Saccharomyces cerevisiae S288C: one gene and its partners. Changing the gene in region 1 together with any one later gene gives a genetic interaction. Each region holds a gene or a part of one and is shown in the gene's direction. Other genes may lie near its edges.

Region 1 (4,548 bases):
TTCTAAGTATCATCACTTGGTCCAATGACAATGTCTCTGCAAACTTGCTTGGAATATTCTTATTTACGGTTTGTGTTCTATATTTTGGATTTATTACAAGGTATTTTGGACATTTAATGATCGTTGGTATAATATGGGTATATCTTTTAATTGACAAGCACGTTCAAGAAACAATGGCATCTTGCCCTTCATTGGATGATATAATACACGTTATGGATAGGGTTTCTATGAAATCTAGCGCTGTGTTATCTCCTATTACGATTTTGAGCGCTCAGGATGTTAGAAGACTGTTATTTACCATTGCCTTCCTATCCCCAGTTTATATTTTTCTAACAGTGTTTGTGCTATCTCCAAACTATTTAATGTTAATAGGGGGTCTGTATGTGCTTACGTACCATTCTAAACTAATCCGAAGAATGAGAAGATACTTGTGGAAATTTCGCGTTGTTAGATTACTTGTATTTTTCATAACAGGATTAGACCTTGGTGGACCAGATAATAATAGGCGCTTGTTTGCTTCTGTCAATAAGAAAATAAGGTCCTTTGTTTGGAATGAGGTAGGGAACACATCTAACACTAAAAAGACTGTACTTTTCAAGGTTGCTCTGTTTGAAAACCAGCGCCGCTGGCTTGGCATCGGATGGACATCAACTATGTTGAGTTATGAGCGCGCATCTTGGACAGATGAATTCCTAAATACTTCTCCAAGCCCAGAAGTGTTTACTTTACCAGAGGAGCAGTCGGGAATGGCTTGGGAATGGCACGATAAAGATTGGATGCTTGACCTAACAAATGATGGGATCATTCAACTTCCTGCTTCTGCTGCTAAGACAAAAGTTAAGCCAGGTGCAGATGAAGGTTTCATATATTATGATAACACCTGGAATAATCCCTCTGCAACGGACACATATAAAAAGTACACAAGAAGAAGGAGGTGGATCAGGACTGCAACAGTAACAACAACGTATGACGATGAGCCCACTGTAGAAAAAGCTACACCGAATTCTCATGCTCTGAAGAGTGAAGAAAATAATAGAGTTAGAAAAAGAAAAGTGTCATTTAGTACAGCAAATGAAGTGCATATCATACCTTCCTCGGACAGTAGCAAATTAATACAAATATCTGATGTTTCAATGTCTCCTTCTCTATAATGAGTGCATGCCCCATATGGACAACAACGTTCACACTGGTCGGTGCAAGGGCACACAGCAATCTCAGAGTTTCTTTCATTGGCTGCATGGAGCACAAATTCAATCTTGTGCTTTAAAGTATCTGCGCGGTTATGGCAAGTTCTCCATCAGTCTCTTATTCCAGCAAGCATTCTTTTACGGAACTTCAATGCATCTAAATACATATGTACAGATAGCCAAAACTAATAGAGACATAATAAATTAAACAAAACTGTAAATTTTAAAAAGAGTATATATAGGGCTCAAGAAACTGCGTAAATATAAAATTAATGAAGAAAATCTGATTGTCAACTAAACGACATCTTCCATTTCTATTTCATCTTCCAAGTCAGCCTCCGCGTCTCCTTGCGCATTGTCTCCAGCGGAACCTGTTTGCTCATCAGCTAGTTCACCTAAGGTTGCCTTTCTCTCCTCCTCTTTCAACTTTTTATACTCTGGCCTTAAAGTGTATTTGAATGCATATGGGCCCTTCTTCACTAGAGTGGCAACTTTATCCAAACACTCCTTTAAATGTGCTTCAGGTTGCCTAGTACGTTCCTTCAACCCCTTCAAGGACCAGTAGTCATACTCATCAAATAACTTGAACAAGTAATCCAAGATTTCCTTCTTTGGCATACGAATAGATTTAATATTGCTCTTGGCCTTCTCACGCCCCACTTTCAAGAAATTCGAGTTGTCTGACCTCATGGACATACCTGTGTGGCTCATCGTAACACCAACGGTTTCATCCAAAGTTGTGATCCTTTCCTTATTATTAAGCTTGACAATATTTCTTCTCTGTTCAACAATCTTGTGATAATTAGGATCATTCATTGATGGCATAACCTGACATTCGTGGCAAACTGTACCCACAATGGCGGTTTTTTTGGGAATCGTCTTCACATATGGTATATATCTATCTCTACCATCCCTATCTGTCATAACTCTGTGATTAAACTTTTTTCTATTATTTCTACGTTTTTGCTGCTGCTGCTTCTTCTTAAGTTCCTCTTCACGTTCTTGCTTCTTCAGGTAAGCTTGCCTTTGCTTTTCAGGATCTGCTTCCAACTCCTTTTTACGTTGTTGATATTTCTTTAAATTTTGTTCTGTGAAAACATATTCATTTTCTACTACTTTCTTTGTAAGTTCTAAATCATATTCGTGCGGTATAGAATCGTTATCATTTTCATTCAATAGAAGTGTGATTTTACTCCCATCCTTGTTTATCCTAATTTTACCCAGTTCTTGGCCATGCAAGTTGTTTCTGTCCCTCCATTTCTCTGCTAGAAACATGGGCAATCTAACTAACCAGACTTGTCTATTACTACGTTCCAAGTCCAAATCTAAGGATTCTTCATAAACTTTGGTTTCATTATTCTCAATATCATTACCGTCAAAAACTTCCTCCTCTTGCGAAAGATACTCATCACCGGAAATGTTACCTGATTTCTCCTTCGCGACAGAGTTCGTGGAATTATTAGAAAGTGCTGGTGCCCCTGCTGAACCACTGCTCATGGTGTTAAGTTGGTCTTCTATTTTACTCTTAATATTGCGTTATGCGTTGAAGCCAACAGCATATGTCTTATTCTTCTAATTTCAAGCCTGATAATTTATTCATTTCGCGCAAGGGAAGATGAAAAAGTTAAGAAGAGAATCGACCTTTGGAAAGGGCCCCAATGGAAAGAACTTCAATGTTTTTTCCTCTACAAGTAATAAGAGCATAAAATGGACCTAGATCTAGCCAGTATCTTAAAAGGTGAAATTTCTAAGAAGAAGAAAGAGCTGGCCAACTCTAAAGGTGTTCAGCCACCATGCACTGAGAAATTCCAGCCACATGAATCCGCAAACATAGACGAAACACCGCGACAGGTAGAACAAGAAAGTACAGATGAAGAAAACCTGTCAGACAATCAGAGTGACGATATTAGGACCACCATTAGCAAATTAGAAAATCGGCCAGAAAGGATACAAGAAGCGATAGCTCAAGACAAAACCATCTCTGTAATCATTGATCCATCACAAATTGGTTCTACTGAAGGAAAACCTCTTTTGTCAATGAAATGTAATTTATATATTCACGAAATATTATCTCGTTGGAAGGCGTCTTTGGAAGCTTATCATCCGGAGCTGTTCTTAGACACTAAAAAAGCACTCTTTCCACTCCTACTGCAACTACGAAGGAACCAGCTTGCCCCGGATTTACTTATTTCCCTTGCGACCGTTCTCTATCATTTACAACAACCTAAAGAAATAAATTTAGCCGTTCAGTCCTATATGAAACTCAGTATCGGCAATGTGGCCTGGCCTATTGGTGTTACTAGCGTAGGCATTCATGCTCGTAGTGCACATTCGAAAATTCAAGGAGGCCGGAATGCTGCTAACATAATGATTGATGAAAGAACGCGATTATGGATTACCAGTATTAAAAGATTAATAACTTTTGAAGAATGGTATACCAGCAACCACGATAGCTTAGCCTAATTGTTGAACTATTGTTTTCGTTATCGCGTGGCACGATATCATGCGGCCAAAATAAGAAGCAAGAATGCAGATGTTGATAGCCTTTGTTCAATTTTCCAGAGACAAATGCTTTACAGGATCGGGACTTGAAATATACTGACTGGATGACGGTAAACTTAGATCCGGATAAAGTTTGGATAGACGGCTGCTTTGATTTCACACATCATGGGCATGCGGGAGCCATTTTGCAGGCTCGTCGAACAGTTTCAAAAGAAAATGGTAAACTATTCTGTGGTGTGCATACCGATGAAGATATTCAGCATAACAAAGGAACACCAGTAATGAACTCTTCAGAAAGATATGAGCATACTAGATCAAATAGGTGGTGTTCGGAAGTGGTTGAAGCGGCGCCATATGTTACAGATCCCAATTGGATGGATAAATATCAGTGCCAATATGTTGTTCATGGTGATGATATCACCATAGATGCTAATGGAGAAGACTGCTATAAGTTGGTGAAAGAGATGGGGCGCTTCAAGGTAGTTAAAAGAACATATGGCGTAAGTACTACCGAGATTATACATAGAATATTGACGAAAAAATCTTTGCCACCGACTCATCCTGATTATTATCCCACCACCCAGGAATTGAGTTTCTATTCTGTCGCCCAAGATGCCGTTTCAAAACATTGTTATGTCTTTCAGAGGGATTTGGACAATGTCTTGGTCAATGGTGGATACAAATTCGATGCAGAAGATTGTGTTTATGTTGACGGGGATTTTGACTTATTCCATATGGGGGATATTGATCAGTTAAGAAAGCTGAAAATGGATCTTCACCCCGATAAGAAATTGATTGTTGGTATTACCACAAGCGATTACTCGAGTACCATTATGACGATGAAGGAACGCGTCTTGAG
Region 2 (4,979 bases), on another chromosome or scaffold:
AAATTTTTCAGTTACAGAAAAAATTTCATCTCATCTCATCTCAAATTCATCATTAGCATAATGGTACAAATAATAAATATCACATAACTGTGGGTCCGGAATATTTTTCAAGACATTTCAGCGGATCGTATAAGGTTGCAAGAAAAATTGAAGATGGCTGGAGAGAACCCAAAGAAGGAAGGTGTAGATGCTAGGTTTGCCGGGATCTACAGCGATCCTAAATTTAAGAACACGAAAACCAAAGATCATAAGATCAAGTTAGATTCTAGGTTCAGTAAGAAGGATCTGGAGGTCCAGCATAAATCTAAGGTTGACAAGTATGGTAGAAAGATCAAAAATGCGCAGAATAACAGGGAATTGGAAGATTTCGACAAATATTTCGAAAAGGAAGCAGAAAATGATGAAGATTCAGAAGTTAATGCGAAAACAGTAGTGGACCGTGCCCGTGGTGAAGTTCCTGATGATTATGTTAGCTCTTCTGATGAATTCACTTCTTCTGATTCTGAATCGTCCGGAGAAAGTGAAGTTGAAAGCGAAGAAGAAAATGAAGTAGAAATTGAAAATGCCAAACCAGAATCTGGTGACATCTCTAAGAATTTGGCCGTCGTAAATTTAGATTGGGACCATGTTAAATCTGAGGATTTGATGATTACCTTTTCCAGTTTCGTTCCTAAAGGTGGTAAAATTGAAAGAGTTGCTATTTATCCAAGTGAATTTGGTAAAGAAAGAATGCAACGCGAGGAAGTTGAAGGACCTCCAAAGGAACTTTTCCAAAAGAAAAATAAGAACAAAACCTCCAAAAAGAAGAAAACTGATGACTCTGATTCTGATATGGACATCGGTATTAAGGATCTTTATGAAGAGGGAGATGCTGACAAGGACGTGGATTCCAGAGCTTTACGTCAATACCAGTTGGACAGATTAAGATATTATTACGCAATAGTTTATTGTAGTGATACAACCACCTCCAAAGCTATCTATGATAACTGTGATGGTACCGAATATGAGTCAACCGCTAATATGTTCGATTTAAGGTATGTTCCTGATGGTATGACTTTTGATGATGATGTAAGAGATGAATGCAGTATATTGCCTAAGAACTATAGGCCACACCAGTTTAGCACAGATGCTCTACAACATTCAAGCGTCAAATTGACCTGGGATGAAACGCCAGCTGATAGGGTCGAAGTTGCTAAGAGGGCCTTTACCCAAAAGGAAATTGATGATATGGACTTTAAGGCTTACTTGGCGTCAGATAGTGATGAATCGGATGGGCAGGTCGATGAAGAGGCGAAAAATAAACTAAAGTCGTTGGTTGGTGACTTTGGGTTTAATTCCAAGAAAGAAACCCCTAACGATGAAGATGAAGAAGTTGATATGGAAATTACATTTACTCCAGCCTTGGAAGGAGGAAACGAGAAATCGTCGGAAGACAAAGAAGAAACGACTATAGAGAAAATAAGAAGAAAAGAGAAGGAACGTCGTAAAGCAAGAAAGCAGAAAGTAAAGGAATTGAAACAGCAGTCGGAGAAGGATAAGAAAAGCAAGTTGAAATCTGTTAATAAAAAGCATACTAACGATGAAGAGGAGATCGAAAAGAATGCCAAATCAAAGGCTGAATTGGAGCTTTTAATGGATGATGATGATGATACCGAAACTCAGGGCACAATAAATAACAAAGCACATTTCAACATGAACGAAATCTTAAGATCAGAAAAAGAAAAACACAAGAAAGGCCGGTATCAAAAGAAAGAGAGAATTGTTGAAGACACCTTTACACCTGATTTAGAAGATCCTAGATTTAAAGAAGTCTTCGAAGATCACGATTTTGCTATCGACCCGACCCAGCCTGAATTCAAAGGTACACAAGCTATGAGTAAAATCCTAAAAGAACGTAGTAAACGTGTTAAGAATAAGAAAAGAAAACTTGGCGGTAGTGAAAACAATATGACCAATAACGCAGATGATAATGAAGATATTGGTAACTTGGTAAACAAGTTGAAAAAGAAAAGCAAATCATCCAAGAAGGTAAAGGTTTAAAGCAGTCAATGAAATAGTATTTAAATGAAACTTGAATACAAATAGATATGTACAATTATAAAGAATGCATCATTGGATTTGTAGTTGATATCAATTATCGTAATGTTTCTCTGACCGGTTCTTGTAATACCATTTCTTTGAATTTTCTTTTTTGTATTTTGTCTTATTTACGAGGGAGTACTGTGTCCTTGCTAGAGATGAGGTAAAAAAAAAATCTTGAAATTTTTCCTTTATTTTTGGCCAAATAGTGCAACAAACACGGCATGTACTTTGAAGAGCAGATGAAATGGGTTTAGTAGACGGTTATGACACAAGCTCAGACTCTGATTTGAACTTCGACGAAGGCAAATCTGTTCATGAAAAGAAAAATGGTAATTTGCATGAAGATACTTCGTATGAACCTTCTTCAAATAATATTCATAAGAGAAAATCACATTTTACAAAGTCAGAACTAAAAAGAAGACGGAAAACTCGCAAAGGAGATGGGCCGTGGGGCAGTTGGTCAAGTAGTGACGATGAAACTTCACAAGCCAGCGAAACTCAGAAAGAAGATCAGGATATCTTCGTGCACGCGCTGGCTGAGGACAACCTAGATTCGGAACAGATAGAGGTAGAGGAAGTCTCCCATTTTTATGGTAAATCAGAAAAGGACTATCAAGGCAGAGGATATTTATATCCACCAAATGACGTCGATGTTGATCTTCGTGAGGAAAGGATATCCTTTCGGTGTTACTTACCAAAAAAAGTTATACGTAATTATCCGGGGCATCCAGAAGGAACCACTGCCCTGAAATTCTTACCTAAAACTGGACACTTAATTCTCTCTGGTGGTAATGATCATACTATAAAAATTTGGGATTTCTACCATGACTATGAATGCCTACGAGATTTTCAAGGTCATAACAAGCCTATTAAAGCATTACGATTCACCGAAGACTGTCAATCTTTTTTGAGCTCTTCCTTTGATAGAAGCGTTAAAATTTGGGATACTGAAACTGGTAAAGTGAAAACCAGGTTGCACCTTAATTCAACGCCTGCAGATGTTGAATCTCGGCCCACTAACCCACATGAGTTCATTGTAGGTTTATCGAATTCGAAAATATTACATTATGATGATCGTGTTTCAGAAAATCAAGGTCTTGTGCAGACATATGATCATCACCTAAGTAGCATTCTGGCTCTCAAGTATTTTCCCGATGGTTCGAAGTTTATTTCTTCTTCAGAGGATAAGACGGTAAGAATTTGGGAAAATCAGATCAATGTACCAATAAAACAAATAAGTGACACGGCTCAACATTCTATGCCATTTTTAAATGTACATCCGTCTCAGAACTATTTCTGTGCACAAAGCATGGATAATAGAATATATTCTTTCAGTTTGAAACCCAAATATAAGAGGCATCCAAAAAAGATATTTAAAGGGCATTCATCTGCTGGTTATGGGATAAGCTTGGCTTTTTCTGGTGATGGTCGTTACATATGTTCAGGCGATTCAAAAAGCAGACTATTTACTTGGGATTGGAATACGTCGCGCTTATTAAATAACATCAAGATTCCAGGCAACAAGCCTATAACTCAAGTGGACTGGCATCCTCAAGAAACAAGTAAAGTCATTTGCAGCGGAGCGGCAGGTAAGATATATGTATGTGACTAGCTATTCACTCGGAATGTTACTTGAAACAAATTAAATGGTTACATGGATGTGATTTGTTACTTAATTGTTATTACGGATGATATTATTATGATAGTAAAAATGACAATAATAAAGAAACGATTGGGGTTACCTGAAATTGCAAGTACTAGTTCGAGGACACATTTGCATCATATGGTAGAAAGAGCGGATCTTAATATAGTTAATTTTTTAAACTGAGACTGCATTTAAAGAAATGAGAAATCTCAGCTGAGTTATTTAATACTTTGCGTGCATCATTATTATACTACAAGGCCATATAATCGACTACCGCATAGCCTTTCGTATCTCTTTTTATTATTTATTTTATCATCTAAGCAAAATATACTAGTATGACAACAATGTACTAAAGTAACATTAGACGTATAATTTCCTTTTGCGTTATTTAGAAATAATGTTATGTAGCCCCTCACTGATTTTCCCGTTTGTATCTATCCAATTCGGCCTTCAATTCATTGGTGAAATCGTCGTCAACTTCAACATCATCCCAGTTTTCTTCCCATATGTTTGTTTGCGTTACAGCATTGCTTTTTATTGTTTCACCATTGGCCCATGTGTCAATGGGGAAATCTTCAAATTCATCGTCTTCCTCTAGAGACTTCTTATTTATTTCCTCATTTTTTTTTTTTGTTAAATCTATTTTACTTTGGGCTTGTGCAGCAGCAACGTCCGTACTCATATTTTTGCGTATTTGTACTATTATTCGACTTTTATTGCCACTCTATTCACTTTATGCATAGGTAGGTTTCCATTAGGACTTTAAAAGGTAACGCCCACCACGTTCGCCACCCATAGCACTAGTTTCGTAAATAATGATAATATAATGGATCCGACAGAACTAAGAAGCTTTCAGCCCTTCAAAATCCCTACTAGTAGGTTACAAAGACATGAGGAAATGTTGATATAATTTTTATTGTTTTCTTTAGAAGGTTAGTTTTAAACACAAACCCGAAAAAAAATTTATAACATTTTGAATGTGTTATTAGCCCTGTAGGGGGCTCGAACCCCTAACCTTATGATTAAGAGTCATACGCGCTACCGATTGCGCCAACAAGGCTATTTATTTGTGACCTTTTAAAGGTTAAAAAGGGATAATACATATAATTTCTCAATATCAAGATGCATCATCATGTATTAAACTGAGAAATAAGTGAATTCTATGAATATTGAGATAGGGTTGGGATTGCATTGTTGGAAAACAATATTTGGTTATCAATTCTTGCTTTTCAACTTCTACTAAAAATGGTAA
Region 3 (4,323 bases), on another chromosome or scaffold:
ATCAAGTTGAAAATCAGCCCCTTTCACTAGATATCAAGCGCTATAAAAAAATTTTAATTTCGATGAGGCATCTTTCTTTTCTCTTGTGGCTATGTAAGCCTAAGAAGCCGTTTACACATCAATGATAAATAAGTATACAAAAAGGGTTCCATTTTTTTTTTTGGCCGCTACCGGACTAGCAAGGGCCTAATGGTACGCTGAGCGTAGTACAACCAAGCGCTTGTTAGCCGTAGAGTTAAGCTCTTGACTACTATTACGGTAAAAGCCGGGAACGTGCGTAACAATTTTTTTTTGCATTAGGTTAAAGAGGCTCGCTCGCGGAGCCTTTAGAATACCGCTTAAGGCGCCAAAAGATGGAAGCTATTCTCTTTCTTTTTTTTTTCACAAACTGAGAGGGGTTGTGTATCGTTAAAAATGTTGGAAGACTTCTGACTCATCACTACGCAGATTGTTAGAGTTTTTCGATGAGAATGGCTTCAAAGAACAGAACAAAACACGATTATATAAGCCCCATGTAAAAAGAACGTCTTAATTTATTTTGAATTTAGGACTTCTTGACATTTTTAGCATATATAACAATACGATAAGTGTCTCATCAAACGTGGTTAAGACAGAAAACTTCTTCACAACATTAACAAAAAGCCAAAGAAGAAGAAATGCTTTCTCGCACAAGAGCTGCAGCTCCGAATTCCAGAATATTCACTAGAAGCTTGTTACGTCTTTATTCTCAAGCACCATTACGCGTTCCAATTACTCTTCCAAATGGTTTCACCTACGAACAGCCAACAGGGTTATTCATCAATGGTGAATTTGTTGCCTCGAAGCAAAAGAAAACGTTTGACGTGATCAATCCATCTAACGAAGAAAAGATAACAACTGTATACAAGGCTATGGAAGATGATGTTGATGAAGCCGTTGCAGCGGCTAAAAAAGCTTTTGAAACGAAGTGGTCTATTGTAGAGCCGGAGGTTCGCGCTAAAGCTTTATTCAATCTCGCTGACTTGGTTGAGAAACACCAAGAAACACTGGCTGCCATTGAGTCAATGGATAATGGTAAGTCATTGTTTTGTGCGCGCGGTGACGTCGCTTTAGTATCTAAATACTTGCGTTCTTGCGGTGGTTGGGCAGATAAAATCTACGGTAACGTTATTGACACAGGTAAAAACCATTTTACCTACTCAATTAAGGAACCATTAGGCGTTTGCGGCCAAATAATCCCTTGGAACTTCCCTTTATTGATGTGGTCATGGAAAATTGGGCCTGCTCTGGCTACAGGTAACACCGTCGTATTGAAACCCGCTGAAACAACACCTTTATCTGCCCTTTTCGCTTCCCAGTTGTGTCAGGAAGCAGGCATACCCGCTGGTGTAGTCAATATCCTTCCGGGTTCCGGTAGAGTTGTTGGAGAAAGATTGAGTGCACACCCAGACGTGAAGAAGATTGCTTTTACAGGCTCTACTGCCACCGGCCGCCATATTATGAAGGTCGCTGCCGATACTGTCAAGAAAGTCACTTTGGAGCTGGGAGGTAAATCACCAAATATTGTGTTTGCTGACGCTGATCTAGATAAAGCCGTCAAGAACATTGCCTTCGGTATTTTTTACAACTCTGGTGAAGTTTGCTGCGCTGGTTCCAGAATATACATTCAAGATACAGTATACGAGGAGGTGTTGCAAAAACTAAAGGATTACACCGAGTCACTAAAGGTCGGTGACCCATTTGATGAGGAAGTTTTCCAAGGTGCTCAAACATCTGACAAACAGCTGCATAAAATTTTAGACTATGTCGATGTAGCAAAATCAGAGGGGGCTCGTCTTGTGACTGGAGGGGCCAGACATGGCAGTAAAGGTTATTTTGTCAAGCCAACAGTGTTTGCTGATGTCAAAGAAGATATGAGAATTGTTAAGGAGGAAGTGTTTGGTCCCATTGTAACTGTATCCAAGTTTTCTACTGTTGATGAAGTGATTGCTATGGCAAATGATTCTCAATATGGGTTAGCCGCAGGTATTCACACTAACGATATTAACAAGGCTGTTGATGTGTCCAAAAGAGTGAAAGCTGGTACTGTTTGGATAAATACCTATAACAACTTCCACCAAAATGTTCCTTTCGGTGGCTTCGGCCAGTCAGGTATTGGCCGTGAAATGGGTGAGGCTGCTTTAAGTAACTACACTCAAACAAAATCTGTCAGAATTGCCATTGACAAGCCAATTCGTTGAAGTAACTCAGGCCCGAGTTGACTGCTCATTGAAGGTATGTATGATAAACATTATAGAATAATGAAAAATGCCTCGTGACATACAGATAAAATCTAACAAGGATATATTCAAAAAAAAAAAAACAAAACAAAAAAATAATAACGTGATAAACATTAATGAACAATGTATTTACATTCTTAAGCATAGGTGAGAAATTACCTTCTTTACTTTTTTTTTTTTTTTTGGTGATATTGTATATTGAAATATATAGTAATCAAATTCGTTTCATTGATCAAATTGCTCACTAGTTCTGTTTTTCAAAATTTCATCTTTATAGGTAGATACAAGTGCCAGAGAGATATATAAACAGAAAACTCTATCGATGTGATAATGTATGCCAATATCGGGACTGTACACCCACACATTTACAAGCCCACACATCCTACAACTTTCTTTTCATTTCTTGCGCTTCTTCCACTGTCATAAAATATGATTGTCCGATGCCGCAGCCTACGCCTCGGCGAGTATTCATCACCTAAGCGTCCTGTAGGCGGGGCCACGCAGTCACTAACGGAATACTCCAGAAGGCTGCTTCCTTTGGAAGGAAGTTTCACTCGGTTGTCCACCCAGCGCTTTAACTTTGTCTCAGCGAAGAAGAATTGAATAACTATAGTGAATTTCAAGAGCTAGAGGATGGTTAGGTATTAGTTCAAAACAAAGATTTCAAGAAACCAACATAGATTAAGCAGAAATGGTATGTTAAAAAGTGCTCAGATGAAAGATGACGTCCCATATTCCATGTTAAAGTTGCCATGAGTTAGTATAAAAGGCAATAAAGGTACCATAACGAGAAAAGAAAGTAAAAGAAGAAATGTTTTGCAAATTTAAGGTGGCGTAACAGCAACTATTGGCTAATATATTAATGGCAATCATTGTGAAAAGAAATGTGAAATCCGTATCGTAATTGGTTAAATTTATAACTCAAATTTAAACACTCGAATAGCTGACCCGTAATATTTTATCCCGCTTTAAGAGTTCAACGCTAAAAAATGATATCTAGCTAACCATTATGCTACAGGAACCTTTTTTGGACTATTATCCCTATCATGAAAACTGGAAGGATCTTTCAAGGACGCCATTTCCAAAGATTTCCCCCACACTGGAACCTATTTTACTAACAATTTTTAAAATGGTTTTTTACCTAAATTGTTTTTTCTCAGTCTGACGCTGTTACTATCCGTACTAGAAAGGTTATCTCCAACCCATTGTTGGCCAGAAAGCAATTCGTCGTCGACGTCTTGCACCCAAACAGAGCTAATGTCTCCAAGGATGAATTGCGTGAAAAATTAGCTGAAGTCTACAAGGCTGAAAAGGACGCTGTCTCCGTTTTCGGTTTCAGAACCCAATTTGGTGGTGGTAAGTCTGTTGGTTTCGGTTTGGTCTACAACTCTGTTGCCGAAGCTAAGAAGTTCGAACCAACTTACAGATTAGTCAGATACGGTTTGGCTGAAAAGGTTGAAAAGGCTTCCAGACAACAAAGAAAGCAAAAGAAGAACAGAGACAAGAAGATCTTCGGTACTGGTAAGAGATTGGCTAAGAAGGTTGCTCGTCGTAACGCCGATTAAGCAAACTAACTTCAAAACGTTAAATCATTTTTACGGATTGTTTAGTTTTCTATATATAAATATGTGTATCTTTTTCCAATAAAAAATATAATCAATAATTTTAAGAGATCCGTGGATTCATTTCGTAATAGAAAATCTCGGAAAAATGGTACAGAATATTGTTGGCTAAGTGCTTCAGATTGCATCATCAGAAAAGTAAAAATACCCCCGTAATCCATCTTCTCTACATTTAATCTCATAGTGCTCGTAATGTCTCGAAATTTGTCTTTCGTGATCATTGCACAGTCTTTTCATTTGTCACAGTCACGTGATTACATTTAAGTACAGTATATCCAAAAAATTAGCTGGACTGGGAGCCTTCTCAATAAGTTGGCGGTTTATATACTCAAACCTATTAATAGGAAAGAACTCACAAAAGAAGCCTTTTGGAAGAGAAAACTTTGATATAGAGGGGATATGGTACTGTTTGGACTAGGTAGACTATTTTACGTCATTTTATT
Region 4 (4,821 bases), on another chromosome or scaffold:
GGAAGAAGCTTTGCACCATAGGCAAGGATTTCACGTGCTCGAATAGTTTCTCCTATAGAGCTCTCGAAATCTGAAAATTTAATCACAAACTCAACAGCTTTAGAGTTTGGTAAAATTTGAATGCATTCTTGGTACAACTCTCTGGTTACTGATGGTCCCAAAGTAGACTCGGCCTTGGAAATACACATTCTCCACAGTTGCAGTCTACTTTCGAGGTGCGTGCTCACACTAACAGTACCTATTACAGCACCTCTACGTAATATCTCAATACTCTTGCTAATCAGACCACTTATCCTTTCTTCAAATACGCTATAAGCGATAAAAATTGTTTTACAGTCTATACCATTTGAACATAGATTCTTAAGTGCTTTCTCAAACAAAAATCTAATATGTTCAGGACTCAGTGATGACAATTGATGTGATGTCGCTACTTCTAGATACTCAATCCATAATTCGTATTGGATTTCGGGGGGAAACAGAGGGATTGTTTTCTCATACACCTGAAAACTTTCCATGACTTCGTAATGATTTTGTAAGAACAATGCAAAATTTTCTGCCATTGCTGGAGTGATCAATCTCAAATCAATAACAGTATTGTATGCCATTTTTGTCTTATTGAATATTTTATCGGAGGAATTTGCATCCTTTGGGCAGTAAGCCTCTAGATAATCAATGTATTTGGACCAAATACGTAATGAGTTGAATAGAACAGTTTGAGCAGGTATTTTTCTGTGTCCATTCTTATATTTTTCGAGGAGAATTTCTGGATTTGTTGGCACATGTAATGCATCTTCAAGGATAGAAAAAGCTCTTTCCACCCCTTCTTTATCTAATTCTCTATCAGCCCAGTTTAGGTAAATTTCTTCCAGATCTTCTATATAAGGATACGGTACCTTCAGAGATTGTGTCCACAATTCTCTAGCTGTACTAATTGCGTTTGATCTCCAATACAAATCCCCATACGAACACCAAAGCCTACCGAAAGAGCCAGGCGTACCAACTTTTCGGGGATCAATTTTCAGTATAGCTTCTGAATACACATTACACTTTTCCGCTGCTGACTTCTGCAAGGACACTCTTTTCATCCACGTTTCCACCAAGTTGGAATCTTGCCTTAGTGCGACATCGTTCAAATAGATATCATATAAGTTGATTAAAGATTCAAATGTCGCCATATGAGCTTGTAACTTTTCAGTCCAATCTTTTTGATTAAAGAATTTGCTGTCATTTTCCTTTAGCTTTCCCAGAATAAATTGGGAGCACTCTTGCTCAAATAGCAAATAGAAATTATAGATGCGATCAAAATCACTGTACCTAAGTGTTTGCTGTAAACTTTTCTTCAATAAATCACCACAACTGTCAAGCCTCCCGCGAGAGATATAATATTTGGCAAGTGATAGGATCAAAAAAAGCCATTTGTCGGGATATATGCCATTCATTTGCCTCATGAACTCCTCATATTGATTATCTAAACCTAGTTTTTCTAGGCTGGCCAAATAATTGAAATTTAATTCAAAAGGCAGTTCTGAACTAGGTAGATACTTCCCACTATTTTCATCTTGTGGCAAATACTTTTCATATACTGATTTGATGGTAATATTGTCTCTAGTTAATGCAAGAGTTGCCAGCGATTCATTTCGTTTTTGCTGAGGAGCCACTTTTAAGTATCTTTCTAAAATATGTGACGACCAAATATCACCTCTACTTCCGTTTTCACTAATTTCCTCGCTAATAAAACCTCCCTTCGTGAAACCCTTCACTAAAAGTACATTTATCAATTCAGCTTCATCAGTACTTTCTTCTTCATCTTCTTGAGTTGAATCCAGTTGCGTTAATGGTAAAACTTTTTCTTCCACAAATTTTATGACAGGATCCCAAACTTTCCGATGCATTTCTCTCTCCATTTTCATTAAAGATGAAGCTAAGGCATGCCTTATCATTGCCAAGTCATATTGTTCAATTGCCAATTCTAAATAAGACAAACATATCCTGTCACAATCTCGTACACAGCTTTTCAGGCACCTTTGAAAAAGCCAGAAAATACGTGAAGTTTCGACTACTTCCTTTGTTGATTCCCAGCGTATATAATCTTCCCATATACTTGTATCTGTTACAAATTGTGAACAAAATCTTTCATATAGCCACCTAATCTGTTTGTCAGTTCTTCCCTCCTCTTTCCAATACTCGATATATCTTTTCCATGTAAGTATGTTCTGCGGTGTCTTTTGTATTTCGTACTCAAAAGCCACATCTTCATCATTTCTTATGTTCTCATCGACGTTTGTTATTACTCCTTTCATTGCGATGTATGCTGACATAGGATATATGGACACAATAAGTTTTGCGGTACTGAAGGATAGTTGAGTCCAATATGGAGGCCTGATTATTTCCTTTTTTTCTATCTATTTCCTTTTGTATTATTTTGACTGAAAAGCTTGCCAGCGTCTTTACTAAAATCTTTCATATGTTCGGACCGCTATAGTAAACTGAAACTTGATATTCAATAATTATCAATCTTCGAAGCTAAAGAAATACAAAATCTTTATTCGAAAAAGTAAGTAACATAATCAACCGCTGATTAGCACAATATGAGGATACAGTCGCTTTTTGTTTTATTTAATGTTGCCATCATCGCATGGTCATATCCATATGAGCCTTTAAGGGTTTTACAAGTAGGAGAGAATGAGGTAATGGAGGTTCCCGAATCAGAAAAGCTAAACTTACGAAGAAGAGGTGTCAAATTCTTTGATGTGACCAAACACACTTCTTTCTTACCTTTCTTTAACAAGGAGGAAGAGCCAACAGTACCAACGTATAACTATCCTCCTGAGATATCGAACAAAGAAGTAGTGGATGATTCGATTAAGAATATAGACAAGGGCTCTATGCACAAGAACTTGGCAAAGTTTACAAGTTTTTACACCCGTTACTACAAGTCCGATCACGGCTTTGAATCTGCCGAGTGGTTAGCTGCAACTATCGCTAATATTACAAAAGATATTCCGCAAGATACGTTGACTATTGAACATTTTGATCACAAAGAATGGAAGCAATATTCAATTATAGTCCGTGTCACGGGATCTACTACGCCAGAAGATATTATAATAATTGGTTCTCATCAAGATTCTATCAATCTGCTACTGCCATCCATAATGGCAGCTCCAGGTGCGGACGACAATGGGTCAGGCACGGTGACTAATATGGAGGCTCTCAGATTATATACGGAAAATTTTTTGAAGAGAGGATTTAGACCTAACAACACTGTGGAATTTCACTTTTATTCCGCCGAAGAGGGGGGATTGTTGGGTTCTCTTGATGTTTTTACAGCTTATGCCAAACAGAAAAAGCATGTGAGAGCGATGCTTCAGCAAGACATGACGGGATATGTTTCTGATCCAGAAGATGAACATGTGGGGATTGTCACCGACTACACTACTCCCGCATTAACTGATTTTATAAAACTAATTATCAACTCTTATCTATCCATTCCTTACAGGGATACACAATGTGGCTATGCTTGTAGCGATCATGGGAGTGCCACCAGAAACGGATTTCCAGGCTCCTTCGTGATTGAAAGTGAGTTCAAAAAGACTAACAAGTATATTCACAGCACCATGGATACTTTGGACAGATTAAGTCTCGCTCATATGGCGGAACACACAAAAATTGTATTAGGGGTAATCATTGAACTCGGGTCATGGTCCGCTTGGTAAAAGTCAGTAATATGCATACATAACTAATGATGCCTTACCTTGGTGTTCTTTTGTAATATACCTAAACCGATATCACGCTAGTATTTATTTCCCGAATTTTTTTGGCGTATTTCGTCATCTGAAAATAACATAATCAATGAAAGAAATAGAGTCAGTTGCAAAAAGTGCAAGCCAGCGCTAACCGCTCCCGATTTAGTCGCAATATTGATGGCAAACAGTACCAAAAACTGGTTACCCATATAAATTGTTTGGCATTGTTATTATTGTTATAAATTATTATTGTTATTATTATAAATTATTATTAGTATTATACAAAGTTTTCAATTCTGCAACAAGTTGGGCCGCAAAATATGGAGAAAAGCGAAAGTAATTCTGAAGGACTTTATCTCCAAAATATATTAAATGTTCCCCCTCCGCAGCGATTTATTGTGCTCATAATACTTGCCCTTTGGATCTGGACATGGATATTAAAATTCTTCTTGCATAGTAATTTAGACGTATCCCAAGTCATACTCACGAGAGTACCGCACGATATACGTCCAGGTTATACTCTACAGCAATTGCATAGAACAGCTAGAAATTTTGCTTTGAAGATAACAAGGATTATTATACCGTTCCACTTTGCCACTGTGTTCCTTTTTGAGTTCATGAATATTATAGAAGGTCCACTCAAAAATATCATTCTCATCGTATATTTTCTACCATTGATCCAATGTGTCACTATATTTTGGTTTCTGTTGAAAGAGTGCCAGATAATAAAATATTGTACTAGGAGATGTTTGTTGATAGAATCCTCCCCCCGTTCCTTAAGGAATACCTACATTTTAATCTCTGACACGTTGACATCGTTTGCAAAACCATTGATAGACTTCACATTGTTTACCTCTCTAATTTTTAGAGAACCCTTCACACATTTTGATCTATCCGTAGCCCTTCTTCCTGTACTGGTAAGACTACTGCAGTGTTTGAGAGAATACCGTTTACTGCACGAAGCAACTTTACTATTCAATGCATTGAAATACAGTTGTAATCTTCCCATTCTTTTTTGCACCTGGAGATCAAGAGTGTATGAGGGATCCATCAACGAAGAAAGACTACACCACGTTCA

What was found.
Region 2: mutations in PRP18 (region 1) and CDC40 are lethal when combined (synthetic lethality), as found in Saccharomyces cerevisiae (5 studies listed by BioGRID, with this or other methods).
Region 3: mutations in PRP18 (region 1) and RPS24A together harm fitness more than expected from each alone (negative genetic interaction), as found in Saccharomyces cerevisiae (2 studies listed by BioGRID).
Region 4: mutations in PRP18 (region 1) and YDR415C together harm fitness more than expected from each alone (negative genetic interaction), as found in Saccharomyces cerevisiae (2 studies listed by BioGRID).

What each region holds. Positions count from the first base shown.
Region 1 is NC_001139.9:503,176-507,723, forward strand, and holds PRP18 (mRNA splicing protein PRP18), read left to right. Parts: upstream 1-2,894; coding exon 2,895-3,650; downstream 3,651-4,548. Other genes in the region: PEX31 (peroxisome biogenesis protein), read left to right, coding at 1-1,151; transcription factor IIF subunit TFG2, read right to left, coding at 1,482-2,684; ECT1 (ethanolamine-phosphate cytidylyltransferase), read left to right, coding at 3,794-4,548. UniProt on the Saccharomyces cerevisiae protein: Component of the U4/U5/U6 snRNP, binding principally to the u5 snRNP. It is not absolutely required for the second step of pre-mRNA splicing at low temperatures but is required at higher temperatures.
Region 2 is NC_001136.10:1,201,558-1,206,536, reverse strand, and holds CDC40 (Cdc40p), read left to right. Parts: upstream 1-2,326; coding exon 2,327-3,694; downstream 3,695-4,979. Other genes in the region: pre-rRNA-processing protein ESF1, read left to right, coding at 154-2,040; proteasome regulatory particle lid subunit SEM1, read right to left, coding at 4,140-4,409. UniProt on the Saccharomyces cerevisiae protein: May function in the second step of pre-mRNA splicing. Regulatory protein involved in replication and mitotic spindle formation and/or maintenance. Required for initiation and completion of S-phase and for initiation and completion of DNA replication.
Region 3 is NC_001137.3:303,374-307,696, forward strand, and holds RPS24A (40S ribosomal protein eS24 RPS24A), read left to right. Parts: upstream 1-2,949; coding exon 2,950-2,952; intron 2,953-3,418; coding exon 3,419-3,823; downstream 3,824-4,323. Other genes in the region: aldehyde dehydrogenase (NAD(P)(+)) ALD5, read left to right, coding at 657-2,219; YOS1 (Yos1p), read left to right, coding at 4,280-4,323. UniProt on the Saccharomyces cerevisiae protein: Component of the ribosome, a large ribonucleoprotein complex responsible for the synthesis of proteins in the cell.
Region 4 is NC_001136.10:1,295,929-1,300,749, reverse strand, and holds YDR415C (putative aminopeptidase), read left to right. Parts: upstream 1-2,588; coding exon 2,589-3,713; downstream 3,714-4,821. Other genes in the region: mRNA splicing protein SYF1, read right to left, coding at 1-2,318; ERD1 (Erd1p), read left to right, coding at 4,064-4,821.